Linked DNA regions of Lepisosteus oculatus. The protein of the gene in region 2 interacts with the protein of the main gene of each other region in a pairwise test. Links are inferred from orthologs where the notes say so. Each region holds a gene or a part of one and is shown on either strand. Other genes may lie near its edges.

Region 1 (7,600 bases), on a different chromosome or scaffold from region 2:
TTTCGGTTCCACACAAGCCTCCTCTGTGGACTGACCAAGATATAGTTGACTCCTGGACATTTCCTCCCATCTCGACCACAGAGCTCAGCAACTCTGAAAAGGTTACTGTTGGCCTCGTGGTTAACTCTGTTCTTCCTTGTTCCTCCGACTGGAAGGAACAGTGTCTGGGGGCCTTCCACCTCACCAGGCTCAGAGATATTAGGGTATCTGAAATGTTTTCATTTATTTTATATTACTGTATGTATTTTAATTTTTCATCTGTTCTGATGTCTGTTTTTGCTTGTCTTGGGATGGGCTGCTGTAACACTTCCTTTTCCCTTTGGGATCAATAAAGTCTTATCTATCTCACTACCTGATCGAGGGGCCTTACCGAGTTATATTTATTCATATCATACCATTAGACAATGGCCACTCAACTAATTGTTTGTCTCATTAAAGTAATTTTGTGCACCTAGATTAACTGAGATTTGCCACGGCAATGGTTTTGAATGTTTATGCAGTCATTACTATTCCTGTTTTTCTTTCATATTATCCATTAACTCTTTCTTCTTCTTTGCTTTGAAGGCGGGGCGTGGGTTGTATATTAAACAAATATTAATTGCTACTAAAGTCACTGCAAGCTTTAAAGCAAGAAAATGTGAAAACTGTGCAAGGGTCTCAATACTTTTGGAAGGCACTGGAATAGCCTCTATAAAACAACATACTTAGGTATCTGAAAAAAGGAACAGCCTATAAATTATATTAGCTGTTTTCTACATACTAAAAGGTAACAACACAGAGTTTTACCTGTACAGTATATGCTTTGTGGCACTGAGTATCACAAAGCAAAACGCAACTCAAAGAAATTACTAGCAAACTGAGCTCTGTGATCTATGTACTGAATTGTCAGTCACTATCTTTAAGAACTCGATTGTATAATGTCACAAAGCATTCCACATCCCATGCATTCCTTCAATATACTATTCAACGACTAAGTTGAAGTTGTGTGAATACTTTGCACCTTCACAAAAAGCCTTGCATTGCTACACTACTGTAGTAGTGGATTGTTGCACTGTATATGTACAACACTACATTCTTAGTTATCTAGGGGTCAGTAGCAACCTGTTCAATGAGAATGACATCTCCGAGATGGATGATTACACAGATTTAATAAAGTAGTCACAAGACCTTTCATTGTTTAGTGTTTCCAGTACGGTGAAGAAGGATAACATATTCCAATCCCGTGAAATCACAGACTACTGATGCAACATCTATATTGTTAAAGTTAAATTCCGGACATGGAGTGTTATCTGTGTGGGTGGCACAATGGCAGAGTGGTTAGCATTGCTGCCTCGCAGTACTGGGGCCCTGGGTTCAAAACTGGGGGTCTATCTGCACAGAGTTCATATGTTCTCCCCTGGTTCATCTGGGTTTCCTCTGGGTACTCATGTTTCCAACCACAGTAGGTTAATTGGCATCTGGGAAAATTGGCCCTGGTGTGAGTGTCAGTATGTCTGCATGTCTGTCCTGTGATGGACTGGCATCCTGTCCAGAATATACCCCACCTTGTGCACCTTGCTGAGATAGGCTCCAGCTCCCCCTCAACCCTGAATTGGATGAAGCAGTTAGAAAATGGAGGAATGAGAATTAATTTTATGTAGGTTACATGTGTAAGAGCTAGGGGTGAGTGGTAGAGTTGTTTTGCACCGTGTACAATCACTTATTTAAGAGATTTTATCTATACAGGACATCATTGATACAGCAGAGTTTCTGAGGCTGAGACACTCGTAACTGGTTTCAAAAGTGATATAGACCTGGCAGAGCATGCTACAGGTAAACTTAAAAACTGTAACTGTATCATGTCTTGCACCGATGTTACAGAAACAGTAGCTTTCATACACTGCACAAACCAAAATAGGACCGTATAGTGCTGCATATACAACATGAGCGGAATTTAAAAACTATGGAAATATTCACTGACAGAATGTATTTTTAAGAAGTATTGCACAGCAGATAATGTTTTCAAAGTGCCATCTATCCTAAATCTTGAATTAACAGACGTTTTTTTTATCTTTTAACTATTATGACTAACATATATCAATACAACTGTGTCATTGCAATACTGTGTTTTGAAATTCGCAGCTCCTGTACCTGTTTGTGCTTATCACCGACACCTACGCCACACCACAAACTGCCCGACTTTCATTATCTAGCCACCCCTGCCCCGAAAACTACATACTGTATATAAAAAAAATCGATTTTCAAACAGATCTTTGTACAAGAAAACTCTAAGTTAACTTGATTCCCTGGGATCTGCACCAGGAGCAACCAGAGGTACGACTGCGTTCGCTGTTTACGATGTAGTAGGGAGTTTGGCTAATCTTTCCGTGTATTTACAAACCAACAACGAAAGAGCTTTCCAAGGCAGATGAGTTTGTGTGCATTTATTATTGATGCACCTACAGCGATCGGGTACGCAACCGCCGCAAACACCACCCGTAGGGACAACTCCAAGTAATTTACGATGACTTGATCTCGACTGTTCAATCACTGCTACGCTGCCCACCAACCCAGGGCACCGCCATTCAGTGCCCGGTCTCGTCACCTCGCTTGCTCTGTACTTACTGTTTCTGAACTAGCTCTTCGGCCGATGGTGGTCCCTGTTGTTGCTGGAATGACTTGAGAGACTCGAAGGCCTTCATCAGTTTCTCCATGGTGGCCATTTTAACAGGAATAATATTTACAAATAACACAAACAGCGGGGCAACGCAAAGACGTTAAGGAAGGGAACGGCCTACGCGCTTCATGCGTGTTAAATCCAGCCACGGGTTTGGGCTCCGCGACACCCCACCTGTCACGGGGATTTCGTTACGGTTTTTAAAAATCTATCATTTAAATGAATGGGACTTAGTTGCTGTTATATCCAATTTTGTTAGCCATCTTTGATGCATCCCATCAGCCTCCCTCCTAGCAAGGAAGTATATTCCCTGACAGCTTGAGGGGGAGCCGCGCTGTGAGTGGCTGATCGGGAGCCGCTTGTGTTTGATTGAGAGGACGGGAGAGCAATAACACGACCGGGGCTGTCTTCATCTCGGCAAGAGGGCGGCGTGGGTTTACTTACCAAAGCGGCTCAGAGGCTGAATGTACCACGAAGTTTTCTTGCTGGGAGGCTGCCTTCTGATTGGTCACCGTATTATTTTTATTGAACAGCAAAATAAATCCCTCTTTTTACCCAAAAAAACATGACCTTAAGGCCACAGGTTTCTGATCTGATGTTGATGGTAATTAGTTTGAAGATTGGTAATCAGTAAAGTGTGGAGATGAGCTTCCTGTCCTGTCAAGAGAAATTTCTCTTTTGTCCTATCATACAAATGTTGTGGTACGTGTACTGAAAACCACAAAAGCAGAGCTTCGACTCTCGTGTGTAGTACTCTGGATCCATGATCTGGATATTTCGATGAATTTGTGATAGTGGTGGCTAGCTAGTGAAATAATGGCATGTTGCATCACATATCTGGGATGTCCCTGTGGACGGTAAAGTAAGTAGCAGGGACTTTCAAATGCATTTGGGGGAAAACGGCACAATACAGCAAATGTCAGTGGTCAGTTGATATATCAATTAATATGTTTAATAGGAACATTTTTTATACAGGGTAGTGCTGTGGTTAGCATTGCCTCCTCACAGCTCTGGGGCCCTGGGTTCAATTCCAGACCTGGGGTGCTATCTGTGTGGAGTTTATATGTTCTCCCCATGTTCATGCAGGTTTTCTCTGGGTGCTCCCATAATTCCAAAGACATTCTATTAGATCAATTGGATTTTGGGAAAACTGGTCCTAAGTGTAGGGGTGTTTGTGTCTGCCCTGCAATGGACTGGTATCCCATCCAGGGTGAATCATGCCTCACACCTTTTGCTTGGTGGGACAGGCTCTGGCTCCCCTGTGACCCTGAATTGGGTAAAGCAGTTACAAAATGGATGGAAAACCACAGGAAGGGTCTAACTACTTGTGCAAGGCACTGTACACTTCTTTTCAAATTACCTAGCAGATCTGGTAAAAAAATGTATCTGTATGATTATCTGTTCAGGGAAATCATATTTATTAGCCAGGGCTTTGAATAGCATCCCGTACTCCAGTGGTTTGGTATAATTTTCCAAATGCATGCTTCAGGTTTTTTTAAAAAAAACCTGTTTGATTGCAGTATTTGTAGGTGACATTCTTTCCACAGAGGGAACGTCCTTTAAGTCTTTTTACACACCTAAAGAGCCTGCAGCCAAGAAAAGAACCCAGACCTCGTCTATTCCTACCCCTGTTGGATGGGACTCAAAAATAAGACAGTAATATAGTCCAGGTGAACTTTAACACAACAAGCCTTTATTATTAACAAATGCATTTATTTACATTTATGAAAACATAATATGCTATAGAACGATTGACGAGCATTTACACTCAGTCCTTCCAACACAGATTTCAGTTCTTTGCTAGGGGTGCAAATGTGTATAGCGCACAGCCCCCTATGGTCTTGACATTATAAAATGATCCAACACATTTTAAATTGATAATGTATTCAAATTTGAATGCTTAGACAGAAAAGTTCTAATGGTAAATTATGTTGCAGTAAATAACAGATTTTTTTTTGCATTAGCATTATAGTATTAAAGCAGTATTCTTTTATCTAGGTCATAAACAGCATGAGTGGTTTGTGATGAAAGGTCCACAATTGCCTGGTGAAGAGAATCATATGGTGGTATGTGGGTAACCTCAGTTCAAGGATGCATGAATTCAATATTTGGTAGAAACTATTGGCAGCAATTACAGCTATTCTTGGCTACCTTTTGACAGCAAGTACAACTGCAGTTCTTTTTGGGTTAGCCCCCACCAACTGTGCTTACTGACATTCTGAACTGGCCACTCAATTCCATTAACGTTCTTATTCCTAAGACTTTGGCCCTGCATTCTGGGTCATTCTCCTGCTGAAAGGCTAATGTTCCTCCCAGTTTTAGGTCTTTATGAGATTGAAACAGGTTTTCTTCTGTTTTGGTCCATTCATTTTCCATTAGTCTTCTCAGTTCCTTATGAGAAGCAGGCCCATAACATAATACTGTCACCACCATGCTTGACGCAGGGAATGGTGTTGACTGTGTATTGCAGTTGGGTTTGCATTATATGCACTGCTTTGCAATTGTCCTGTATATTTGTAGTGTCCCTTAGGTGCATTGTTGGAAATCCCATGTGAGATTGGAGATGTAAATTAAAAGATCCATACAAAGCCCCTTTGTGGACTGGCTGGGATATTGTTGACCCATGGACATTTTCTCTGATCTAAGCTCTTTCAAAATCACTGTTGGCCTCACTCTGGAATCCATAACTATTTTTTTCCTTTTCCAGTTTGGAGGTACAGCCTGATCTAGGCAGTGTCTGGGTGCCTCCTACTTCTTAATGATCAACTTCACGATCCTCAAAGAGATATTAAGGGTCTTTGATATGTTTTTATACCTATCTCCCAATCTTTTACTTTACACACATTTATTCCTGAGTTCTTTAGAAAAATACTCGGTTTTATGATCCATTCACTACCTGACCAAGGAACCTTACAGAGACAGGTCTATTATTTGAAAATCATGTGAACTGCTTTTATTACATACACACTGAGACTACTAAACTAATTCTGTGTCTTGTTAAGGTAATTAACTTAGGTTTGCCACAGCTAGTGTTGGGATATTTCTGCAATCATAACTTTACCATTTTTCTTTCATTTATCTGTTTTTTTCCTTTTTTTGCTTTAGTGTTTGGAGCAGATTGTATAAGAGACAAGAATTTCTACTTGAAAGTGTCATGATTGTAAGCTTTAAATCCAACTGTGTAAACTGAGCAAGGGTCTGAATACATTTGCAAGGCACAAGGTCTATCATTGTATAATGGCAGCCAAGCCGAATGTATAGAAGGGGTGAGAGGCAACCCTTTCCCCTCTTTAAATATGTAATATTTATAAGTAATTTTAACAAGAGATGTTTCCGTTTTCAGCACTGTCAAAAATATATATTTTACTAGCCCTTTCACCAGTACATGACACCAGGATAGTTCATACTTTTTTAAAACCACCAAAGACAATTCACACACTACCTTATTTTTCTCAGCTAAATCTGAAATTCAGCTGTTTATTTTTGGGCAGCTTTAATCACTTTATGGCCCTGCGATGGACTGCCTTCCCATCCAGGGTGTGTCCTCCCTTGTGTCTGTTGCTCACCAGTAGACTCTGGCTCCACCATGACCCTCAGTTGTTAGAAACGTGTTAGAAAATGGATGGATTAATCTCTTTATGCTCACTTAGGGAGAGCTGCCTATATATATATTGATAAAACACCTTGTAAAAAATAAGAATCTTTACTTGTTGCTGGATCCAAACATTTTTTTTTTTCCTTTTGTGTTGTAATAGTGTTTTTTAGAGATTTTTTTTTTTGGTTAAAAGAATTGTACATTACATTTACAGGAGAAAAGATCATTTTTGTAAAGCTAATGATAAAAGCTGGACTCACAAAAAGGGTTAGCAGTGTGCCTATGAGGTGATTTCATTTTTACCACAAAACTGCATCTTCCTTCAGCTTTGTCATACAGTGAATTGGTCATGTTTGTGATATTCCCACTCTGCTGCACAGCAAGATACACATTTTACTCCACAAAACAGAATAACTAATGTACAATTTCGAAACTAGAAATTATTTTTTTCTAAACTGATGGTTATGTAACCATCATGGGTTACAAGCCATCCCTTGTGTGAAACGTTAAATTCAAGAACAGTTCTCCAAGTAGTCAATCATGTTAATTACTGGGAAGCAAAATGAGCAAATTTAAAGCTTGAGTCTATCATAGCATTACAGCAAATAAAATTCAATTGGCTGAAGCACCCACTGAAATAGCTTTGTTTAAATAAAGCACAGGGAAGCTATTTTGTACAAACGGCAGTGTTTTATTTCATAATTACAAATGTCAGATATGGTACAACAACCAGTGATAGAACTTGTACAAGAAATACACTTACTGCAGTGGTTGAAAGACAAGACTGTACAACTACAAAATCGGTCACCTTGCATTAATAAAGGCGGCATCCAATATTTCTGATATGTTGGCACTGTAATATAATTTACAAACAAGAAACCTGAAGATTACTACCGATACATGCTTGATTAGTAAAACATTTTAAAACAGGCATTAAAATGCACTTTGTGCAGACATTCAAACTGTTAAAAGTATTTCCTTACCAGCAAAATTCTGGGAAACTGAATACGGTTAGATTAGTCCCTCTGATAAAGGTTTTTTTTTTAGAAAAAAGGTTTGATAATTGGTACATGGTTAAAGGCCAAAGTCTGTCTTAAATGTCCCATTTAAAATAGTGGAATGAGCCATCACAGACTCTCCTTCAATTCTTGGTTTGACGTTATTGGTAACATCTGCAACACTTCTATTTTGATGCCCTGTTACAAAAGCCCACAATGCAACAAAACTATCATTTGATTCCTGCTGTTCTTTGGGGGAGCCCAAACGTTTCTACATAACCCTTACTTTGACACTGGGTTTCTCAATGATTAAGAATGGATGCTTTTAGCAGCTTACCACAGTACATTTTC
Region 2 (7,793 bases):
CACTTCTAGAAACAACAATACAGATCACCATTAAAGCTTATTTATACCATATTAAAATGTAGTGCACATAACAATCTATCTTGCGACTGCTGCTGTCCTTTTCATTTTTAAAACCTAGCGTTTTGCAGCTCTGTACACTCCATTAAATGAAGCTCACTCATGTGTAGAGAATGAAAGGGCTTGGCCTCTCACTCTCTGTCCTCCTGTTCCTTCCCTTATTATTATTCCATAAATCCATGAGACACTGATCCATTTTTATGAGATCAGTTAACTTTAATCACAGCTCAAGGACGGGGGCCTCCTGAGAATAAAAAGCTCTGTGTCCCTTGCTTTTGAAAGGTTATCGCTTCCCTCTCACCTAAATATTAATGCCCGTTTTGCCTGAAGCGCTCCTATTGAGACACTTGAAATTCCTGGAATTCCTATGGTGCAACCTTAGTACAACCTTTTTGCTAGCAAAGAAAAACAAAAAGGCATCTTGCACTATGATAAAGCTTTGTTGACTGGCTAACTGGGATTATGTAATTCCTAGGAATATGTGTCTCATTTGAAACACATTCAGAAATGTGGTCGGACACTCTTCTGAAAAAAGTACAGCAGAGTCTGAATAAGTCACATTATTGTTAATCCAAATACTGTAAAACACTGTAAAACACAATAATAATGTTTTAATAATGTAAAGACATTTCAACCACTCTTTTCATTTGAGAATATCAGGTAAATACAATTAAAAAGTTTTTTTTTCTTATTTTGTTTTCATTGTTATTGTTATTAATAATAAAGTTGGTAGATATCTCTTTACTGATTTGGTGGTTCACAGTTTGAGCTTTGAATGTGCAGTTCAAATATCTAACTAATGTATAAAGAACACCAGCCCTAAAAAATAAATTCAATGGTATTAGAAATGGGCTAACAAAGTTGCTTTCATCTGAACGTAATGAAAAGTAAACTAAGGAATTTTTTACTCTTCTTGTTTTTTAATACGGAATGGTGGTTTTAAGCATCCAGTGCTAAACAATCAGGGATCAAAGCAGCCATTTGAAGTTTAATGAGCTGAAAGTAATTTTGCTTTCAGGTGGTGTGTATTTGCTTGTAAATAGCTTGTCTTTGTGTCTGAGCAGCAGATTTAGTCCTGAGAAAGCTTCAGCCAGGTACTATGAGTCATTAAATACTGCTTTGATCACTTGAGAATGCATTTTGAGATGGAGCACTGACTTGAGAAGGTTTAATTGTGCCAAAAAACACAGATGGATGCAAAGTAAATAAAGCTCTCATGATAAAATTCAGAATATGATATTTTGTTTTAGAAAAAAAGTGAAAATGTAGGGGAAAATACAGAAACAAAGACATTTAATTGAGTGTCTTTAAAGGTTTTTATAGTATGTTGTTTTTTTTACTAATTTGGTATCTTGCATTGGGGAATTTCTTTCTGGTTGTTTGAAATGTGACACCTCCCCTTGTGTACTTGAACCAACATACTCCACTTGTCAAGAGAAGCACACATGTGTGACATTGGTATGCTGGATCTGCACCTTAGGTGGACTTGCCTGTAGGCGAGCCAAGGTATCTTTAAAAACGAGTCAATGTTTTGTGCAGACAAACCTAATGGACACCAGTGACAACAGTGTGCAGAACAATACACTCATTCATGTGTGCAGCAGTGCAATTGAGGTTAAACAGTTTCAGTTCTTACTATTTCAGGTACAGTATTTTTCTTACTTTTTTTGCTTGTTAGCAGAATGTAATGTCTGAGGCTTTGGCTATATAAATATGATAATGATTAATACTGTGGGTGACTCCTCTGGACCACAATATCCACACCAATATCCACCCATTACTGTGACAGGGGTGCTGTCAGATGTAAGATGAGATGTTCTTTGGATGAGACATTAAACTGAGGCCTTGACTGTTAGTTTCTTTCTCATAAGAGTAGGGGTGTTATCTCAGTGGCTAATTCCACGCTGAGCTTGTACAATCTGGCCTTCCTAAAATTCTTCTTTTATTCACTCAATGAAGTATTTTTGTACTTTTCCACCGGATCCGATGTGTTGTGGGACTCTTAGTACAGACCAACAAGTCACATCACTCAGATGGGAGCTGCACTTCATTGGTGAAGTACTTTGAGATCATTTGGGATGAAAAGTGCTATACAAGTGCATGCAATTATTAATAATTATTAATATAAGTATTAATTGAAGCAGGTATAATTCCAGCAAAACTAAAAATATCTGTTTTGCCTATTTTCAAATGGGCTGACAAGTTGTACATGAAATGTTGTAGATCAGTATCCATTTTGACTTGGCTTACTAAGATCATGGGAAATAAAACAAGCAGACTTTTTTCTGTAGAAATAATTCGGGCTGCTCCCTTAGTAATGATAATAAACATTTACCATTATATAAGAAAGGTTAGAATACGATTTCTAAAAGATTTATAAAAATCTAGACATTAGACTAGACATCTAGAAGTCTAGAAATAAATTAGACAAAAAAACAAAAAATAGACAAAACTCATACAGTATAACGTAATTACAAGCTAAAGTCAGATCTAGACTTAGATTCCTTTTTAAATCAAATTGTGATTTACACATTCTCCTGTGTATACAAGAGTTCAGATAAACTTACTCTCCATCTCGGGCTATGTTGATGTAGTTTAAATAATGGCTTAGTTGTTCTTGGGACACCTTGATGTATTAGCCATTCTGCCATAAGATTTGTCACTGCTGCCCCCTATTGTACTCATCAAGGTGTTAATTACACTTTGATCTGCAGGCCCTCACTACAAAATAGATCAATGCTTAGCTGTTTCAAATTAATGTACTGATCTTTAATTAGAAGAACAACATCATGGTTGAATTATCTGCAATTCTCTATCCCATCTTACAGTTTAAGATTTGATATCAAATTTTATTAATTGAACCTCCCAAGAGAATCTCCTAACTCTGGGTGCAAGTCATTTCAATTTGCCGCTGCATTGGACTGGAACTATCAGTAGAGTGATCTGAAACTATCTACCTTTGTATCCGACATTAGTTATAAATGTTTGCAATGTAAGTGTTTTTTAATTGTTATTGCTCTGACAACATTGTAATTCATTGGTCATGCCGATAAAGCTCATTGAATTTGAATTAGTTAGATCCAGACTCTCATCTGCCTGATGGTGAATTGAAGTGTGAGAGAAATGCACCTTGATGCCACAGCTATAAAGACACTGCAGATCTCATTTCTTAAGTATGTGGTAATCTATTCATTGAATTCAGTGTCCATCAGCAATACATGATTATCCCATATCCTGCAGTAGAAGTGTTTAAATGCAGATTGAGATTGGTTAGCCCAGAATGATTGACATCTTCCACAGTGGTGTAAAAAGCAAGGCAGTTCAATGGAGTATTTTTTACAGGACTTTAATTACAGGGGATAAGGCATCTGACAACAATGACTGTGATTCCCAGGGATTAGGGAGAAGGGCATTACAGTGTGTGTTTGAAGTTAATTATGACCTTTTGGTAGACATATATTATTACCCCAGTTCTATGTCTCAGCAGCTGATGGGTTGGTACTTGACTTCATTTCCATCACCTGTAGAAAATAGTATTATGTGTATTATTGTGAGTTTGATTATGAGCTACTAAAGTAGTTTTTCAGAGTAGTTGTGCATTGATGTATTATATCAAATCATACTTTGGAGTTTTTCTTGCACTGTATAGGTAACAACATTGGAAATAACAAGTTTAACTATTCAGATGAATTCCTATTCAATCATGACAAAATATTTCTTACAAAATGCCCTTTTTGGAATATTAGAATATTCCTTTTCTCTACTATAGCTATGCAGCTATGTTAGTGACAATATGGAAACTGTATTTCAAATGTGATATACAGTATGTGATACTGTATGTTCTGCTATGTACTATATGAACTCTAGAATGGTTTTTTTCATTGAAACCTTTGTTTTCCATGTGAAATGTAAGGGATGGGTGTGTCTATAACTCAGTTTATTCACGCAGATATGGCTTTTGATGTCATCGCACTGCATTTGTAGATGACTACAAGTACAATGTACATGTTTAAAAGGATGAATTATTTTAGCATTAATGCAGATGAGAATTCTGCCTCACTTGTTGGGACACCTACAGTGCGTGACTCATCCTGTTTTACATATTCTTAATGCCCATGAATGATCTGTATGCAAATAAGTTGTAATACAGACGGTGATTGCGGCTAACAGTAAGCTGTAAAACTAGACTGGATCATGTCAGATAAGTATGATTGTGTGTGCATGTGTTAGGGTGTGTACAGAATGTGATGGCTAACTTTGTGTTCCCTGCCATCCCTACCTTCGTTTGGAGTGGGTCTCTATTACTTGGAAAGCCAGCAGAACCAGGGCTGCCTGGGTTGAGTGGGAAACTCACTGGGTTTCTAATGAAAACATCATGACTTAACCTTGGAGCCTGTGATTCACTGTAAAAGCAGCTCCACTTCAGCAGCATGACAACCCAGCTTGTTTGGCATTCCAGTCAGCAAGTCTCCTGTTTGAAATTGTAAGGTTTGCCGAGCCTCAGCTTCTCTGTTTTTTTAAGAAAAAAAAAACTTGCTTCCAGTCTTGGTGAGAGTGACATCACTTCTCTCCTCCTCCAGCGCTGGCTTCAGCCAATCCCCAGCAGAAGGATGCCTGGCTTGTGTGCCGATTACACCGGCTGGCCTTTTGAAAGAAGAAACTTTCCACTCCCCCCTGTTCTTTGACAATAGCACGGCCCTGAAAAAAGAACTGTGGAGGGGGGGGGGGGGTTGGAGGCGGGCAGTTAGAGGCAGGCAGTCTGTGGGCTGGAGAACGTGTGCACTATCTGGCAGCCAGCTGATCTTTGCTTTGGCATTCAGTGCTCAGAGGTAGAGTGAGAGGGAGTGAGGAGGCTGTGAGCTCTCAGAGAGTGCTTTCAGCTGAGTGAAAGGGGATTACAAAACTGAGGAGAGAGAGAAGGGAAAAAAAACAAACAGGGGAGGGCTGCTCTAGCCTAGTTAGAGGAAAAGAGAAGCATTGGTGATGAGAGTACAAGCTGCTGGGAATGCCTTTAGAGGAAGTGAAGGCAGAGGCAGTCGTTGAGGGACTTGTGATGTTTTAACCACATCCGTGCTTTAGTCAGAAAGCGAGAGAGAGAAAAAGAACACATTTGCTGTCAGATCCTGTGCGAGTTTGCCCCCCTCCATCTTGCGGAGTTCACAGTAGCAGCACCCAAAGAAGAGGAAGAACAAGGGACGATGTCTTTCAGTCCGTGGCAGATGCTGTCGCCTGTGCAGTGGGCAAAGTGGACCTGGTCTGCAGTTCGAGGAGGGGAGGGAGAAGGGGGGGAGGGGGCCGAGGACGACCCTGGAGATGATGAAGACTTTTCTCAGGAGGAAGAGAAATCCCAGGGCTGCAGGCGAGTTGTCTTTCCCTCCCCCTGTTCATCTTTTTAGCAGGTTTGGTGTGGCTTGCCTGTGTCCTGCATGGGAATTTGTGTGTGTTTATCTGGTAGGAGGAGAGATGCTTTTCATTCCACCTGTGAGATAGGGCCCAAGGGATTATTGTAATTTTCCTAGATTTGGTATGCTACAGACTCACTGACAGGTGACCTGACAGGTAGACAGGTGTAATTGCAGCTCTGTATGATGGCGGAGAAAGATTTTTCCAGTGAACATGGGCACACTACCCTGTAAATAATTTGTACTGTATATGTCAAACCTGCAGCTTCCTCTGATTTGTGTCTTTTTGTATGCATGTCAGCTTCTGACTTGTGACTGTTAAATGTACATTGTCCTGAAGCCTGTCTGTTAAAATGGGATTAGGAATGTATCTGCTCCTTACTCCATCCCTACATTGTCATTCTTGGTCAATAGTTGGTTTATCTGCCCTTGAAAACTGCAATCAGGGTTACCTCCTTTAGAATGTGTGGGAAGACAGGGGCAGTGAACACATCTGTAGGCATTTCCTAAACAAACTGTAAAGGAGGGAAAAGGCTGAGACAACCATGTTATTTTGCCTCTCCTGTGTATTCTAAGTCTTTAGCTAACACAAATGGGAAGGAAGAAGCTTTTTTTTAAAGACAGGGTTATTTTTTTAGCATGTCCTAGTTTCCAAGTAGCTATCCAAGACGAAAGACTAAAGCTATCCAACACTGCTTTCCAAAATTGTCGCAAAGCTCTTGCTTGGGCTCATTTATATTGTGTGCTCCTTAAGGATTTACTGACAGACTTACGGACAAGAGATATGTGCAAGAGGTACTGTGTGAGAATGACACCTGAAGTGGGGTTGTCATCTGCTGTTTGTTGCTGGTTGTCTTTTTTTACGGTGATGAAATAAAATGTAAGACATAAATGGTCAGTGTCGGGGGGAGGGGGGGGATCCTGACACATGCATGCTTCCCCTTTTCTAAAAACCCACAGCTAGGAAATTAATTTACAAAAACTAAAGCCAGACCGATTTGGCAGTCCTGCTCTCCCACAGGAACGAGGATGCTATTGGACAGACATGAGGCAGGAACTGGAGAAATATATTTAACCTTGGGCACAGAAAAGTTGAAGGCGACTATTTAACAGATCAGCCCAGAGAAATAAACCATAGTAGTTTAGAAGGGAAGTGGCTGAGGAAAGAAGATTTCCAGGTCTTTTTCCACAAATTGGGACTTTGTGACCCCAAAACTTCTTTTAACTGGAGATGGTGTTCATTTATTTATACAAAAGGGGACGCATTTGATAGAGAGTCCTATTTAAGTGTTTTTTATATTCCACCTCTATGAATTCTGAATAAATCTGCAATAATCGTAAAATTCAATTATCTTCAATAAGGCTCTTTTCTGGAAGAAATAAATTTTATAATTAAGATGTAAACAAGGGAAAGATTTAATTAAATTTATTTCTGGTATGCAAATAGTTTTGGGTTGACTTTGGATCCAGAGCAATATCTTCTGATCTTTTAGAAATCATCAATGGCCTGAATTTTAATACTATACTATAATAATTATTGCTTTTCCTTCTAATGTCAAACTTACAGTACCTTTCACATGGGATTCCTATAGCCTTGCCAAAGACAGAGAGTTGTTTTGTAAATCAGCTGCTAATGAAACACATTTCCTTTTCTAATCATATCAAAGTATATGCACTAAAAAGCATGTGCTATAACAAATCTGCCTACTGAAATATGCTCTTGTGTCCAATTTGGGTTTTGAGTTATTAAAATGTTTTTAAAAAAATAACATAATACCACGCCTGCAATTTTTGTGAAATTTCCCAAGACTTGTATATACTTCAGTCAAAAGCAGTACATTGTTGCAGGGCTGATGACTCTGTTTATTTGAATTCTCTTACCTTGAACAAACATGGCACCTCTGTGTCCTTTTCTTGACATCCTTTGTTTTGTCATTGGCCTAAAGGCTTCCCTGAAAAGTCTAGTCTGCCAAAGTCTAAATGACAGGTGGCTCACATAACAACAGCAGGAAATTCTTGTAGGGCTAACATTCTTATTTGTCAGATTTCCTGAAGCCAAATCAGTAGCCTCCTTACCCTTCAGGCCTGCATCGGAACATTTAGAGACCTATAATAAAATTAGAGAAAAATGCAGCTGCTGGGTTTTTCTGATGCAAACAGAATAAAGTGCCAAAGTCAGATTTTTCTTCTCCATGTGAAACTTGGCTCACAGATGAGCATCTGTAAATTAAAGGTAACTATTGAGAGCTAAATGAAAATTACATACAAAAGCGTATCTGTGCTTTCATATCTGTATTATTGGTGTTTTCTTCATGCAGAAACACATTTTTTCCC
Region 3 (7,091 bases), on a different chromosome or scaffold from region 2:
ACTTGAGGTGCTATATAAATGCAAATGAATTATTTACCAGCTAATAAGAGTGTGCTTTGATTTCCTTCCAAAGTCCAAAAGAACTACTAGTAGATCCTCAGAAAATTAGCCCTGGTGTGAGTGTGTGTGTCTGTTTGTGCCCTGTGATGGACTGGAATCTTGTCTGGGGTGTATCCTGCTTTGTGCCAACTGTTTGTCAGGATAGGCTCCAGCTCCCCTGTGACCCTGTATTGGACAAAGCGGTTGGAAAACGGGTGGATGGACAGGAAGAGAGGGATAATCAGTGCCCAGCTGGCCACTCACCAGCCTGTCTTTGCTGACGATGAGCAGCCCCTTGGCCCCGTTGATCTGAGCCAGCCTGACCTTCTCATAGAAAGTGCAGTTCCCCCTAAGCACCATGGGAATGCGGTTGGGGAACCCACCTGCGGGCACCTCTGACGGGGAGCACAGCACAGAAGCAGTCAGGTCATGGATCTGGAGCCGGGACTGAAGAGTTTGAGAGCGACAGAAGAAAGTGGGAAAGAAGACTCCTTTATATTTGCCCAGAAGACCAACTTCAAGAGACACACAACAGCAAGGATTTTTTTCTTTTGAAAATGCTTGTCTTACGCTCACACATGAGGTGATCCTTTACGGAGCTCAGTAAAGTCTTGCACTCAGCTGGATGGGTGTGGCCCCACTGAAAAAACACTTTTTGTTCTCTTAGCATTCTGCCCTGGAAGCTGGAATTGTAGCACTTGTTTAAACAGGGCAAAACAAACAGTTCAGAGACACCTGGGCCCAGCAGTGCTATTAAACTAGAGTTCCTGTTTTTTTAGGCTGTAGACACAGTCCCTGCACTGGGGCAGGGCAGTGTGAGCCGCCGAGACAGGTAGCGTCCACAGACATGCTCTCACGCTCACACGACAGATGGGATCCTCATGTTACTGGGAGAGCAGTCTCTACCCCAAAGCCTTCAGGGATACTGCTGCTGCACAGTCTGGTACCTTTTCACCAGGCAAAAGCAGCCCCTGACAGGGTCTGAACCTGAGACACGGCTCTTGTGCCATTTTACCTTTTCATTAAAATTAATAATTCCCAAAAAAAAGGATTTGGCTGGGACTCGTTAGCATCACTGCAGTCTGGCCGGGGCTAGAAATTGCACAGAATCCATGAGAGACAGAACTCCCTTGCTAGCAGGGCTGTGCACCTTTCTCAGGTCAGTCAGCTCGGACTCCATCAGAGCACTGATCGGCATTTCACAAGGGTGAGTTCGAACCACTGCCTGCTTGCACACCCTGCACGCAGTTCAAAGGTGCCTGTGTAATTCCACCCATGTTGCCCAAAGACAAAGAAACTATAAAGCTTCCCAGAGGCGGGGGTCATTTATTTGCAGCAAAGTGTCTGCCTACCTATTAGTTGTAAGACGATATGTGTTTACCAGCATTGAACCACTTGAAACAATCACAGGCATGCAAACGAGCTTAACACTGAAGGAAGTGTGTGCCATTCTGTCCGAGTGGAGCTTGCACATTCCCCGACGTTTGTTGTGGTTTGTTTCCATGCAGAGGCGGTCTGACTGGGCTGATTCAACACGTGTGGCCCTGGGGGTCAACCCCTGGTGCCCGTGAGGAAAACCTCACCTCTGCGCCCCGCCCCTTCGAGGAGCAGCTGCAATACGGTCTGCACGGAGAGCAGGGTCGCGACAGGGGGGCCGCAGGCTGGGCGGCTGCAGAATTCCTGGACTCTACTCACCGCCTTGTTGAGATCCTGAGGTAGGTGTGCCCACTGGGAGTTGAACAGGATGCAGTAGTCCTTCCCTTTACTCTTCCCTCTCTCACTGACGTGCGCCATGCCATACTCCCCCAGCACCTGTGGCAACAACACTCGTAATCAGGTGCGTTTCCCAATGCATATTTGAATACTTCTGGGCCTTTTACTTGACTCTCCCCTCCCTAGGTGCCATGGCAGTAACTGTTCAGAAGGCACCAAGAGAACTAAGCACAGCAGCCCCGTTTTAGGAAGGTAGAGTGATGCAGTGGTTATTATTGCTGGGGTTCAATGCCAGATCTCGGGTGCCGTCTGTGTGGAGTTTGCATGCTCTTCCCACGTTTGCGTGGGTTTCCTCCAGGTGCTCCAGTTTCTTCTTACAGTCCACTGACATGGTGGGTTAACTGTCTTCTGGGAAATCTGGCCCCGTTGTGAGTGTGTGTGAGTGTGTGTGTGTGTCTGTCTGCCCTGTCATAGACTAGCATCCTGTGCAGGGTGTATCCTGCCTGGTGCCTGTTGCTTGCTGGGATAGGTTCCAGCTCCCCAGCGTCCCTGTACTGGATAAAGCAGTTAGAAAATTGATGGGTCTCAGTCATCCTGGGGCTGTGGGTGACTGCGGGGATCCCTACTGAAACAGTGTGGATAGATGCCTTTTCCCATTACCTACATGGAAAAGAGTATTCATGTTAAGCAACAACAAAACACTCACACTACTGCTCACAGTTATTACCCCGTATGACAAGTGAGTGGACGCCATTCGGTTCATCTGAATTTGGTTGTTAATGGCTAACTTATTCAAAGACCCTCTCCCAGGTGTTGCTAATTCAGGGTACCTCTTCAGCAACAAGGGTGCCAGCTTGCCTCCCCACAAGCCTTTGTGTAAAGAGGAGTCCCCCTGGTCACAGTTTTAAATGCACTGTCCTGTAGTTTCTCTTTGTATCCTCTTCTGAAGAAGGACGTTACTTTGACTCTGTCAGTGATTTTGAGGATTTTGTCTATTTTTTTTTGGTCTGTCCCACAGCTCTTCGGTAATGAGGATTACTGTTCTGGGTACTGTATCCTATTGAATCAGTGTTCTGGGCGATACTCTGGCGATGTTTAGTCTCAGACGACCAACTCATGTACTTAAAAAAAATAATTCGCCCAGCAATAAAGTCTCTAATACCAACGTCTCATGGGATAGCTGAAAAACTAAATAGTCCATCGTTTTAAATTTCCAGGTTTCGGCGCTTTGAATGAATTCACAGGTCAGTGCGCCTCCCATCGCGATTTCTTTATAAACATTAAAATGGTCACTTTTCTTGGTTCCTTTTCTAGGACAACGCTAATAGCATGTTCGCTACATATTGATGTTAATTTTGTTTTTTTTAACAGCCATTTTCAGTTCGGTTAACCACAAGGTTACAATCAAAATGCGGACGGTTTCTTTCTAACAAGGAAAAAAAAGGAGCCGGTAACCACTGGAATTGAACTGCAGACTGCATATTGGCCGCTGTTTTGTGAATTAAACGTTCTTGTAGGGGGTTTTAACATGTTTACCCTCGTCTTCATCTGGATCTAACGCGCAGTAAAGAAAAATCTTCTTTTTTTCCCCCGGAACAGTGCTCAGCTCAGGTCCAGCTGATCCACATCTATCAACAGCAGCAGAGGTAACTGTTGTAGATGTTAGTTTATAGGAGAAGGAACCCAAAAACGTATTACATCGAGGAATTCTAGGTTCTGTACAAAGGAAGTATATACATTGAGGAGCTGAATGTAAAAATAATAATTATAAGAAGTGAAGCATCGCTTTTTTACACTCGCTTATCCATCAGAAGACTCATTACATGGGCCCATTAATTATAATAGCTACCAACCAGAATATCGCCCCCTTAGGTCGGATTTCAGCTATTTACTTAAAATCGTTAACGCTCGAAAGCCCTGCTTAATGCAATATGTACTACAGCGAATAGGAGATATTCAGTATCTCACCTGTTTTACCAATATAGCTCCGAAAATCAGAGCACTCAGGTCCCTCATGATGTCTGGCTGTTATTATGGTTTATCCCCGTCATAAGCCCAGTCCACCATCAGCTGTTTTGGAAGCTCCCGCCCTCGCCATACCGCAGCGCGACTTCATTGGGTCATTTCTGTTATGCTTACTCTCGGTCCGCAACACTATTGGTCAATAGTTCCATCAATCAAAAAGAAGCTCCCGCATAAAAAACGTAATTTGCTACTATCCCTGTCAATCAAACGTACCACTTCCTCGGGACGAGTCCACAATTTACCGCAAGGACTCTATGGTAGTGAATTCCATGCCTTGTTTCAAAAACTGAAGCTTATTTAGTTAAAGGGATATTTCTTACGTTACTATTTTAGTGTTTACGTGTACAGGTGTACGTTTGTTAGGAAACATTATGTAAAGAATAGTTCCTGAAACATGGAGTTTCCCCCAATCAAAGAGGTCAAAGTTTAAAGGTCGAAGGGAGGAGCTCACCCAATTGAAAGATGGCGGTGAGTATCGGTGAATGGTTTTCGTGTATGATTTGTGTAATATATGGTTATTTGTTCGGTATAGTCTCTAATTTCCACTGAAACTGTAAATTATTAAATCTAGTTTTTGTTTGTCTCTTTTAATGGTGAGGGGTATAGAAAGTTAGGCATTTTAAACATTAGAATTCCATTGTGTAAAAGAACCATTTTAATTTTACCGGCTTCGTTTGACTGGTACTAACAAAATGTTTCTTTTCAAACGTTTTTTTAATGTAAAGTTATTGTAGACAACAGAAAAAACGATTTTATTCCTAGCTTTCCGAGTCTTAAGCCCTTGGATGTCCGACTGTTTAGCAAAGTTAACTGAAACGCTGGCGAGCTAGATCCCTGCGCCTGTACATATTTTTCTGGAGGTATACAGAGCATGTTTTCACCTGCAGGAAAACCTGTGTTTGGCGTTGCATGAGTTGAATTCGTTTATTAGTCAGAGAGCAGTAACCAGGCCTCCAAAATAATGATTTTATTTAGAGAAAAATTGTCCATATCGTAAATAAAGCACGGTGAATGTCTTGATTAGCCGTTATTACTTCGTGGGCCGCTGTTCCGGGAATAACGAAGAACGATACAGTTAAAAAGACTTGTACTGTTCCGTTTAAAATACACGATGAGCAGTGGTTGGTCCGAAATGTGTGTATTGTCTCCCCAAAGTAGCCCTGAACTGTCCCTTTTTAACCCCACCTGTTAAAAACGTTAATGGTTTCAGGATAAAGAGAAGAAGAAGAAGGAGAGCATATTTGATTTGTCAAAGTACATCGACAAGACCATCCGTGTGAAGTTCCAGGGTGGACGAGAAGGTATGTTATAGGAAACTGTGTGTTTGTGTGGGCCTTTCTTCTTCATGCAAGAGTTCCTCCCAAACTCTGCAGTGCTCTTCTAGGTAGTGAATGAGCAGGTGGACCTGCTGGTCGTCTCCTCTCGGCTCTCCTTTGTCGAGTGGATCGACTGCAGAACGACTCACGGAGCCTTTTGCTTTTCTCTCTGGCAGCCAGTGGCATCCTGAAAGGGTTCGATCCGCTCTTGAACCTGGTATTGGACGGCACTATAGAGTACATGAGAGGTAGGTGCCAGTGCCTGAAGGCATAGTTCTTAAATTAAGGTCCAAAACCCCCTGCAGCTCTTAGCTTTGGTCTTTACCAGTCACAGCCTCCTAATAAGCCCCATCTCTGAACTGGCTTCATCACTCTGTTCTCCTCCCCACTGAGAGCTGGTGTGTGGGGAGCGGACTGGCGCACTCTGGCTGCCATTGCATTATCCAGGTGGGGCTGCACACTGGGGGTGGTGGAGGGGATCCCGATTACCTGTAAAGTGCTTTGATTGGAGTGTCCAGAAAATCGCTATATAAGTGTAAGGGATTATTATTTTTGTTATTTTGTTATTTGTTGTTGTTATTCAAGTTTTGAGGCATATGGGTTTTGTACAGACCTACAGGCTGGCAGTCTCAGAGGCAGCAGAATGCTGTGCTATAAATCCCTACAGAGGGAGTTCCATCTGGTCAACTGCCTGGGTACGATGGCTTATGCCCAGGCAGACACTGTGCATGACTTGTGCTGGCGAGGCTCAGTCTGCCCTTACCCCTCCTTTGTTCCGTGTCGTCTGCAGACCCCGATGATCAGTACAAGCTGACGGAGGACACCAGGCAGCTGGGATTGGTGGTGTGCCGGGGAACATCTGTGGTCCTCATTTGCCCCCAAGACGGCATGGAGGCCATTCCCAATCCTTTCATCCAGCAGCAGGACGGCTAGAGGGGTACCCTGCTCCCCTTTCCTCTCCAATACCTGTGCACAAACCTTTCTGTACCCCCAAAGCGACATCATTGTTGTGGCCTCAGGAGAAGTAGTTAAAGCTTGCAAGTTTCCATGCAGTCTCTTAAACACCCTGCAGGTGGTGGTTACCCCCGGTCTTTTCCTGATCTCGTCTATCTCCCTCTGATAAAATGTCATCTCTCTGTACCAGGGATTCCCAATCCTAGTGCTGGTGTGTCCAGTGTCTTCTGACATTTCATCAATTTGGGCTTGCTGCTTCTTAATGGATCCCTTATCTAGGCTAGTTATTAGATGGATTATAGAGCATTTGTGCATAATTATGACACTGGAGATCTAATGCTAATTACATTTTCTTAACTTCTAATTGGAACATCTTGGCAACTTAAAATTAGCAAATGTAGTCCATTTAAGGGTTTAAGTAGAAAACCGGAGAAGAAACTATTGGAGACGGGTCACCAAGATTGAGATTTGGAAGCCCAGGTCTGAGCTTCTCTGAAACCTTGTGTTAAGGCTTTGTGCACTAGAAGACACGGTGAAGAGGGGAATGTGTGATCAGATGACAGAATCATGCTTTTCTGTGACTGCTGAATAATGTTTCAAATGTTGCTCTTCGGTGACTCCTATGGCAATCTTCAGTTTTCCTTTTTTTAATTTACAAATGAAATTGGAGCCTGCATGGCGATGGATGGAGATGGGGAAAGGAGGGTGTCGCAGATAAATGTAAATAAACCAACTAGTTTACATGCTTATTTTTATTTGGTTCATAAGTGCAGAGAGAAACGCCACTCTTCTGAATGCACTTACTTTTGTTTTTGTTATTTTCAGTGTGGTGAACAGTTATTCGGAGAGATTTCACTTGTGTTGTCTGTACTTGGGATATGTTGACAACAGCCTGTGGGGTTAATTGATTTTCTGATTTGAAAACTTTAAGATGTACATTGTACAGACTTTAAAAACACATTCTCTTTTTTTAATCGATACACCGGAGTGTGCTTGGTTTGATGTTTTTTAGCCGTTTAAGTTTATTTTAATGCTCTAAGATGA
Region 4 (7,761 bases), about 6.3 Mb from region 2:
CTTAGATCAGGGGAGTCAACTCGCCCCCTGCAGGGCCAGTGTCTTCTGGTTCGTGTTCTTCCACCCACAGCTGTCTGAATCCTCCAATATTAAACTGCAGGGTGGAAACACCTCTAACCAGCCTCTGAGGTCATTCGAACGTAACCCTACCTTTGTGAAAGGTACGAGTGAACAATACTAAAAGGCAGTTAGAAAATTCTTAGGAATGTCCAGGAAAATAATGAACTTGTTTAATTGACTATTCAGATTGGAACAGAAACCAGAAGAGACTAAGCCCTCCAGGAATGGAGTTCGACACCCCTATTTTACATGTTTAACACGGGGCTATCCAATCTCAGTCCTGGAGAACTATGGGTTTTCAATCTGACTTGGACTGTAAACGTTTAATAGGAGGTCCTGATCCTGAGGGGTGTCTGCTGGTATTACAGGTCTTTTTAAAGCACCACCAAAAACTGGTTGCAACAGCTGTATAATTGCTCCAATTCAACCATTAATGAGCCATTTAGGATCACTAAGAGCCCAGGCAGACTGAAAACCCTCAAAGACACCAGCACCCCTGGACTCCTGGTTTAATAGAACTAGTTACTGGCTTAATCAATGTTAATGCAGCCTGCTGAATCTCAATTGAAGAGGTCTTTAAGTGGTGAAGAGCCACTGATTTATACATACCTATTTAAAATAAAAATACCTGCTGTTAACAAAAAACACAATTTTTTTGTATATATTTCAAGAATGATGATTAGTTCTTTTATAAATATTAAAGCATATGGTTTAATTTAAATGGTTTTAGCTTTCATAAATTCCAAGATAATTTTTGGATGTGAAACATTATGGCAGCAAAGGACACATTTTCCTCTAGGTCTATACTTGTGCACATCTGTAATCCCCATCATGGACGATGGTGATATTAGCAGTGCATGCAAAAACATCTTAGGAGAGGATGTTTTTAACCATTTTTCTCAATCTATCACTGGTACTCATCTTTGCAACCCTTAGCTTTTCATTAGCCCTCTCTGCATGCTAGATGTTTCACTGTTGTTAGTTAATAGTCAGAGCTTTTACTGGAAAAAGTCCTTCCTATCTCACCTTAGTGCAGTTTTGGGTCATCATAAAATGTAAGATGTGGATAATAAAAATGGGAACAATTTAAAGTCACTAATAGTGACCATGTGCAGCCTGTATGCATAGCATAGAGTCACTGGCACTGCCCAGAACTCTGCAGGAGGACTGAAGCACCACCCTTCCATGTGAAAGTCATACAACTAACACCTGGGTAATGGATCAATTCACTATTGGAACTGAGGACTGATGGCTGTAATCTTTTACAATGGCATCACACATGCACTTGTCAGTCGAGAACATGGTGAGGGACAGTTCATCAGACCATATCAAGTTTCTCCTGGGAGGGGTCCAAACACCTCAGTTCAGCAACTGAAACCCTACATACTCACATGACAACTTCTTGTCCATGAACCTGGACAAAAAGGAAAAAAAAAGTTGTTAGATTCAATACAAAAAAAAATGTTCTACAAAGTCTGTACATCATTCGACCTGTGGCATGTTATAGAAAACATGCTGGATTTATCATGTAAACCAACATGTGAAAAATGTTAGCTTATGCAGGAAACATAAGCTAACATTATTGACATATTTTCAAGACTTGTTTAATATAGACTGACCTGCTATCATTCCCTACTCTGACCGTATTTATAACGTTTGGGAGCATCCGTAAGTAAAAGTAACTGATATTCTGTGGAATTTAGCATTTGCTCATGTGTATGTGATTGTTGGTCATACATTCTGAAAGTAATGTCACAAATAATGGTTTAATTGTACACTTCTCAAGCTGTATTGTTTTAAATATTTTCCCTCCCAAGAAACAACACTACTGGACGTGTTTGCCTGTATTTAACAAAGCATTATCGCTTAAACCTCCACAAACCTTTAAAGGCATCGCTTCCAGATTCTGTTTTGGATTAAGCAAAGCAATGAACCTTAAAGGCGATCTTAAGAGGCTCAATAATATTTAAAAAAGATCACGTTTAGCTAGCTGCTATACATCTGTTATTCAGTGACCTATATAGCGTCCCCAACCTATGCAATGAAAATGTAAACAGGCTTTTCCACGCTCTCCTGCAATCTACAGCTTGGCGCGAGTTTTCATCTACCACCATAGAGTACTAAAGGTGCAAAACCGGAAGTCCGTCCATGATTTCTGCAACTGACAATTGTAGCTTGTTTAATATTACGTTTTAAAACCTTAAAACCAATTAAACCCATTACATTATTATTATTATTTTAGAGTTACTTTCTACGAGTCTCGCGCAAGTCAATCAGTTTTCGTGGGACTTTCTCGGTGCGCATAATCGTGGTTTGCAGAGGTAGCTTTCGTCACAGGTCGATCTTTCTAAAGCAAAAGTATACAAGCTTATACATTCACGACCTATCAGGATCGTTAACGCGGCATTTTTAATATTACGGGGTAAACAATCTAATCTCACGTTACAAACGCTTTAGAAAATACACAGTACCGAAAGCTGTGATGTATAACGCTGTGTGGACACTATTTTCGAAGCCAAACGTTACGATAACGTTTGCACTCGGTTCACGAAGCGAGGTCGGAAACGTATTAACAATTCTTTATGAGAAATATTAACGTCGTCTCCACGGTTGGAAACAGATCCAAATATCACGGAACTACAGGAGCCCTTCAGAATATTTTATCTAGTTTTAATGGCGAAACATTTCAAGTTTGTATCTCAGCCAAGTACAACCCCCCCCAAGATCCAACAACTACCGTGATAAAAACGAAAGACACAAATGACCCTACGAGACTAAAACAAGAAATACTTACTTCTTCAACTCGGGGGGGTGTGCTTTGCTCATGTTTACGTGTAGAAAGCTATAGTTTTATATCCGTTCAATAACAAGACCACTGCGCTCTCAGCGACTTCACCGCCAAACTCCACGCACGCTGCACCACAAAGGACGAACGCGTTACCATAAAAAAAGTCCGACCATACCTTCCGGCTCACATTATGCGTCATCAACAATCGCCCGAACACTGCCACTACTCCAACGCCGTTTAATTGAATATTCCCTTTCCATTTGCGCCTCCTCTCGGCAACCCAAGTTCACGCGCATTCTCTCCTGAAACTGGAAATACTATCCTGCAAACGAGCAAGAACACGATGGGTGCATTGATTGTAAAGATTTTCTTGACCGATAAATACCTGTTCATGCCGAACAGGCAACAAGCCTAATGAATAATTGGGCAGGCAATACTGCTATAAAAATCATATTATTTAAAAAGAGCTTTCCTAAAGACAGCAAGTGCCGCGCTGTAGCTTAACCGGTGGTCCAGTTAGGGCAAACTGTAGCAAGAGGTAGCAAATCTAGGTGCGGATGTAACAGAGTTCTCCAGATAGCACACTCTCACTGAAAGCTCAATAGAAGTGATTGATTATTGATTTCATAGAGATTGGAAAACCAGAAAGCATAATGAAAATAAAGAGAGTAGAAGTTACTGGCTAGCAATTTTTTGGCAGAACAAAGAAGGATGTTTATATGCTGCCCATAATTCTAAATATATTAACCAAGAATGAATGTTTGTACATCAGATCTTTAGGAAGGGTCAAAGGGCATGGGCAAGGACATTTTGTGAAAACTTCACTCTTTCAGGAGATATACCAGTTTGGCATATGAACTTTAGAAGAGGTCAGAGGTCACAGACAAGGATGTGTCTGAAAGCACATACTGTATGTGGGATTCCATAATAACTATGACACCTTCTAAAGACCTTTCAAACCTCACATTAACTAGGCTCTGTCAATTATTGTGCATAATGTTTTATGCAAAGTAGATTAATTGCTAATATTTTGGTATGTATAGAACTTGTTAATGAAGGTAGTTGTTAAATAAGTAATTACAGCACTGCATGGAAGATCTGAATTTCACACTGCAGCATACCAACACAAACCAGCACTCATACGCGTCTTCATTCCTCGCTGGCCAGCGGAGATTGGCCATTCTCTGGGCTTGGACAAGGGATCTCTGTGAAGGTGCTGGTGGTAAACAGCTCAACCATCTAGCAGTGAATGGATCTCAACTTCATTTAGTGACCTCCCCTTAAATGCAGACAACTAAATCCAGTGGTGTGGTGGGGCTTTAATAAACACAAGTAGAACACTGAACCCTTATCAGCAAGCTTCTCACTTGACCCTCTCCGATGGGGTTGTTCTAGAAATTATATGAATTTAACACTCTGCATAGAGAAATTCCACACATTCCTCTAGGGTTACAGTTATTAAACAACTAGTTACATATCTAGACACACAGCTGAAGAAGGATCCACAGATGAAACATTACTTTTTGTTACTGTTAAAAGTGGAACTATCCACTACTCATTCCTTATGGACACTCAAAGGGATTATATACTTTTAATGCTAACATGCATCGAACACACTCATGTGACACTGGCTTTCTGGTCTCGACCCCACCATGCCAATAGCTCTGAGCTCAGCTCATAGGGCTCAAATTGCAGTGACTTGTGTTCAGAGAGACTGTGAGGGTGGAAATAATAATCTTCACTCAGCAGCCACACGGTTCTGGTCACACCCTCCCAAATACAGACAAACAGGCACAATCCAAGCCTGAAGACAGACACACCGTCTCTCTTTTTAAGAGAATACAGAGAAAACTGATTTTATTCCCGATTTTGATTTGTTGCAATACAAAAAGGGAAACAGTGCTGTCAGCAGCAAATTCCACAGTGTGTAAAACTGAAGCCACAATTGCACCCCCTGCAGGAGGAGGTAGAGAGTTGTGCAGAAACTTGGCTCTAGTGGTTCACAGCTGCTCATGGTTTTCTCCTGACAAACGAAGAACACAGAGGTACCAATAAGATCCATTTCAAGTTTTACCATACTCCTTCTCTCCTTTCTACTTTAATTCCAGTCTGCAAAACATAGACAGACATGAATATACGAGAAAATGAAAACTGTCTAGATTTCATTTTCTATGTTTACTAGAGACGGCAGGTGGTAAAACCCGGACTGGATCAAACTGCTATGCACGGGGAGTCCCAAGTTTCATCCGCTTGTCTTCACGGTCTGACACAGCCAGGGTGTCCCACTCCACCTGTCCTCGGGAGGACAGGGGTCAGTCCGCCGGGCGGTCCGCGCCCTCTGTCTGTGCCGAAGGCCCGCGCCGCCGGCCAGTCCGTGTCCCCACTCCGTGCCTGCTGGCCTCGCTGTCGGCTGCAGGCCCAGATGGCCCCCGGGCCGGCTCCCAGCGCCCCCGTCCTCACTGCTTGATGGAGGCCAGGCTGTCCTTCAGCCGGCGCGTCACGCTGGGCAGCAGGCTCAGGTGCTCGTCCACACAGCCGCCCACGCAGCGCTCCAGCTGCCCGCGCACCGCCGCCTCCTTCGCGCCCGACTCGAACGCGTCCTTGGCCTTGTCGTTGCAGTGCATGGTGCAGCGGGCCAGCCGGTCCTGAGGCGGGACAGAGAGAGACAGAGCAGCTTTCAGCAGGACAGCTCAGAGCAGGAAGGGGTTTGCAACACCTGAAATTACACTCAGAAAAATGTGACCTCTCCTCACTACTTCCTGTACCCACAATGACAGTACTCCTACACCACTACACACACGACAACTGAATGTAAACTGGAATTGTACTTAAAACTGTACAAGTTGTACTATTAATAACCGTATTATTTTTGCACTGTTCACCGTTTTACTTTTGCACTGTTTTTGTCCTGTTTGTATACTTTTCTCTGCGTATTTGCACAGTTTTTGACAATTTTGCAATGGCACCATACTGTTGTTTACACTGTTATTGTATTTCTGTCTCTTGTCTTGTCTGCTGTTCTATTTATATACTGCACCTGAGAGACTCATGAGAAACACTTTTCACCATACTATGCACCCGTGTAAGTAGAATGACAAATAAAGTTGAATTATTATTCTGTTTAACATTAGCAAATACTACATAATGCAATGAAAGCCTTTGTTTTTGCAAAGCTTATTACAGTCTGTTGCACTGTGACAAAGCTGGACTCCTCAGTGCTCTTTTCTGCATTGCTCTACCTTCTGCAGACTTCATGACATTATTATATGATTAGAGATCAATGCAAGTTTCAGTCATGTGCGGTGCTCCATTAAAGAGTTCTGTCTCTCAGTTCCCTATATATTAAAAACTCCAGGCTGTGCGGTCAAGCCCGGGCTGTAGGGGGCAGCGCTGAGCGACCTCCACACCCACGTTGCCTCCTGGGAAAGTCTCACCTGGAACCTCTCCAGCTCGGTGGTGACCAGGCTCTGCGCCTGGGCCAGGGGGGCGTGGCAGCGCTCGATGCACTGGTGCACCTGGGTCATGGAGTCGCTGGCGCGCTCGCAGCACCGCGCGCTGCACTGGAACATGAGCCCCTGGGGAGGACAGGCAGCCAGAACGCGGGGCATCAAACACCACATGAAGCCCACGAGAGAAACGGACAACGGAGGATCTTTCTCCGAGCCCCCGTTTACCGTGACAGCACCCCACACTTCACACCGCATCCGAATGAAGTCGAATGAGACACTCCTAAGCCTCCCACAGTAATAAACACAGTTTTACAGGTAGTCTCAGTCAGGAAACGCAGACACTCCCGTGGTACTACAGGTTGAACAATTCCAGCTGTTACCAGCGGTAGAATCCTGTATCAATCCTGTCAGTCAAAGCTTAGGTCCTGTGATTGTTGTTTTATTCAGTTACGCAGTCAAAAGTATTTTTGAGTTAAAAGGAATTCTCCATTTCATTTCGCAGACAGGTTTGCGTTAATATAACTTTCTGTGCGTTCGGATGGGTTACGGGATAACGTGACTAGGGAAAAAAAAGGAGAGATCGGGCAGCAGGTGTAAATGTGACTGTTCAGAAATAAACCGTTTCCCTCCAGTTCCCATCACAGAGTTTTTAATCGCCCTCACACGAACCCTTCACTAACACCATCTGGCCCTGCGAATTTCACGTCTGCAACCTTCTGTGAAATCGCTTGAAGCAGAAGCAGACCAGAATTAACATGCCTGTATAAAAAACACCATCTTGTCAATCAGGGCACGAAGCTGCGAAACCCCCAAATGTATCAAAATGTTATGCAACGAGGGTCGCGTATTCTTTACGGGGAAATGCAGACACCAGTACTGTGTCCCGCGTCCCGTCAACCAGACACTCACTTGCATTTTACGGATGTGGTCGCGCTCCAGTCCCTGAACCATCTCGTCCACGGCAGACTGCATGCGAGCCTGTTGCGCTTCGGCCATCCTGACTCTCGGGCCGATCTGGACCGAACCGGGCTTGTTACACAAAGGTACACAAGTGATACTTTATAACAGTGCAACCGATGCTGGCCAATGCAGGTGCTAACTAACAAGGGCGTTTAAAGCACAAAGCGTGACTATGTTCTCATACAGCACCTAGTCGCTTACGTGAGCTAAGATGTCTTGAGGTCCTCGCTTGTAATATCTTGCAGCGCTGCCGCTAGCATGGCACATAAGGTCACCCCGACCGGCAGCATGGATTACAAAAAGATCACTTCCGCGCCTGTACTCCAAAGAGCGTTAAAGTGCCCCTGTCTGTGTCCTGGAACCCTTGTAGAATTGTATAGCGACACCACGAGGAAGGAGGAGAGATGTACAGTTCGAACGAAGCGATGTATGGCAAATAGCCCATTAAAGACGTCAGCAGTTTTAATTGGGGAAAAAATAATGTAAACTTTTGCTTCTGTGGTT

What was found.
Region 1: the proteins of tacc1 (region 2) and htt interact in binary tests that used the Homo sapiens proteins (3 or more experiments, as listed by UniProt). The link is inferred for Lepisosteus oculatus from reciprocal best matches to the Homo sapiens genes TACC1 and HTT.
Region 3: the proteins of tacc1 (region 2) and lsm7 interact in binary tests that used the Homo sapiens proteins (3 or more experiments, as listed by UniProt). The link is inferred for Lepisosteus oculatus from reciprocal best matches to the Homo sapiens genes TACC1 and LSM7.
Region 4: the proteins of tacc1 (region 2) and snrpg interact in binary tests that used the Homo sapiens proteins (3 or more experiments, as listed by UniProt). The link is inferred for Lepisosteus oculatus from reciprocal best matches to the Homo sapiens genes TACC1 and SNRPG.

What each region holds. Positions count from the first base shown.
Region 1 is NC_090696.1:40,626,006-40,633,605, reverse strand, and holds the start of htt (huntingtin), read right to left. Parts: upstream 3,006-7,600; 5' UTR 2,703-3,005; coding exon 2,605-2,702; intron 1-2,604.
Region 2 is NC_090697.1:71,491,989-71,499,781, reverse strand, and holds the start of tacc1 (transforming acidic coiled-coil-containing protein 1), read left to right. Parts: upstream 1-4,789; 5' UTR 4,790-5,255; coding exon 5,256-5,416; intron 5,417-7,793. UniProt on the Homo sapiens protein: Involved in transcription regulation induced by nuclear receptors, including in T3 thyroid hormone and all-trans retinoic acid pathways. Might promote the nuclear localization of the receptors.
Region 3 is NC_090724.1:6,313,217-6,320,307, forward strand, and holds lsm7 (U6 snRNA-associated Sm-like protein LSm7), read left to right. Parts: upstream 1-4,086; 5' UTR 4,087-4,239; coding exon 4,240-4,245; intron 4,246-4,987; coding exon 4,988-5,078; intron 5,079-5,269; coding exon 5,270-5,341; intron 5,342-5,883; coding exon 5,884-6,026; 3' UTR 6,027-6,709; downstream 6,710-7,091. Other genes in the region: sppl2 (signal peptide peptidase-like 2), read right to left, coding at 304-486, 1,735-1,851, 3,721-3,768. UniProt on the Homo sapiens protein: Plays a role in pre-mRNA splicing as component of the U4/U6-U5 tri-snRNP complex that is involved in spliceosome assembly, and as component of the precatalytic spliceosome (spliceosome B complex).
Region 4 is NC_090697.1:65,205,368-65,213,128, reverse strand, and holds the start of snrpg (small nuclear ribonucleoprotein G), read right to left. Parts: upstream 3,006-7,761; 5' UTR 2,887-3,005; coding exon 2,855-2,886; intron 1,475-2,854; coding exon 1,452-1,474; intron 1-1,451. Other genes in the region: protein FAM136A, read right to left, coding at 5,305-5,493, 6,283-6,423, 7,207-7,326, 7,459-7,524. UniProt on the Homo sapiens protein: Plays a role in pre-mRNA splicing as a core component of the spliceosomal U1, U2, U4 and U5 small nuclear ribonucleoproteins (snRNPs), the building blocks of the spliceosome.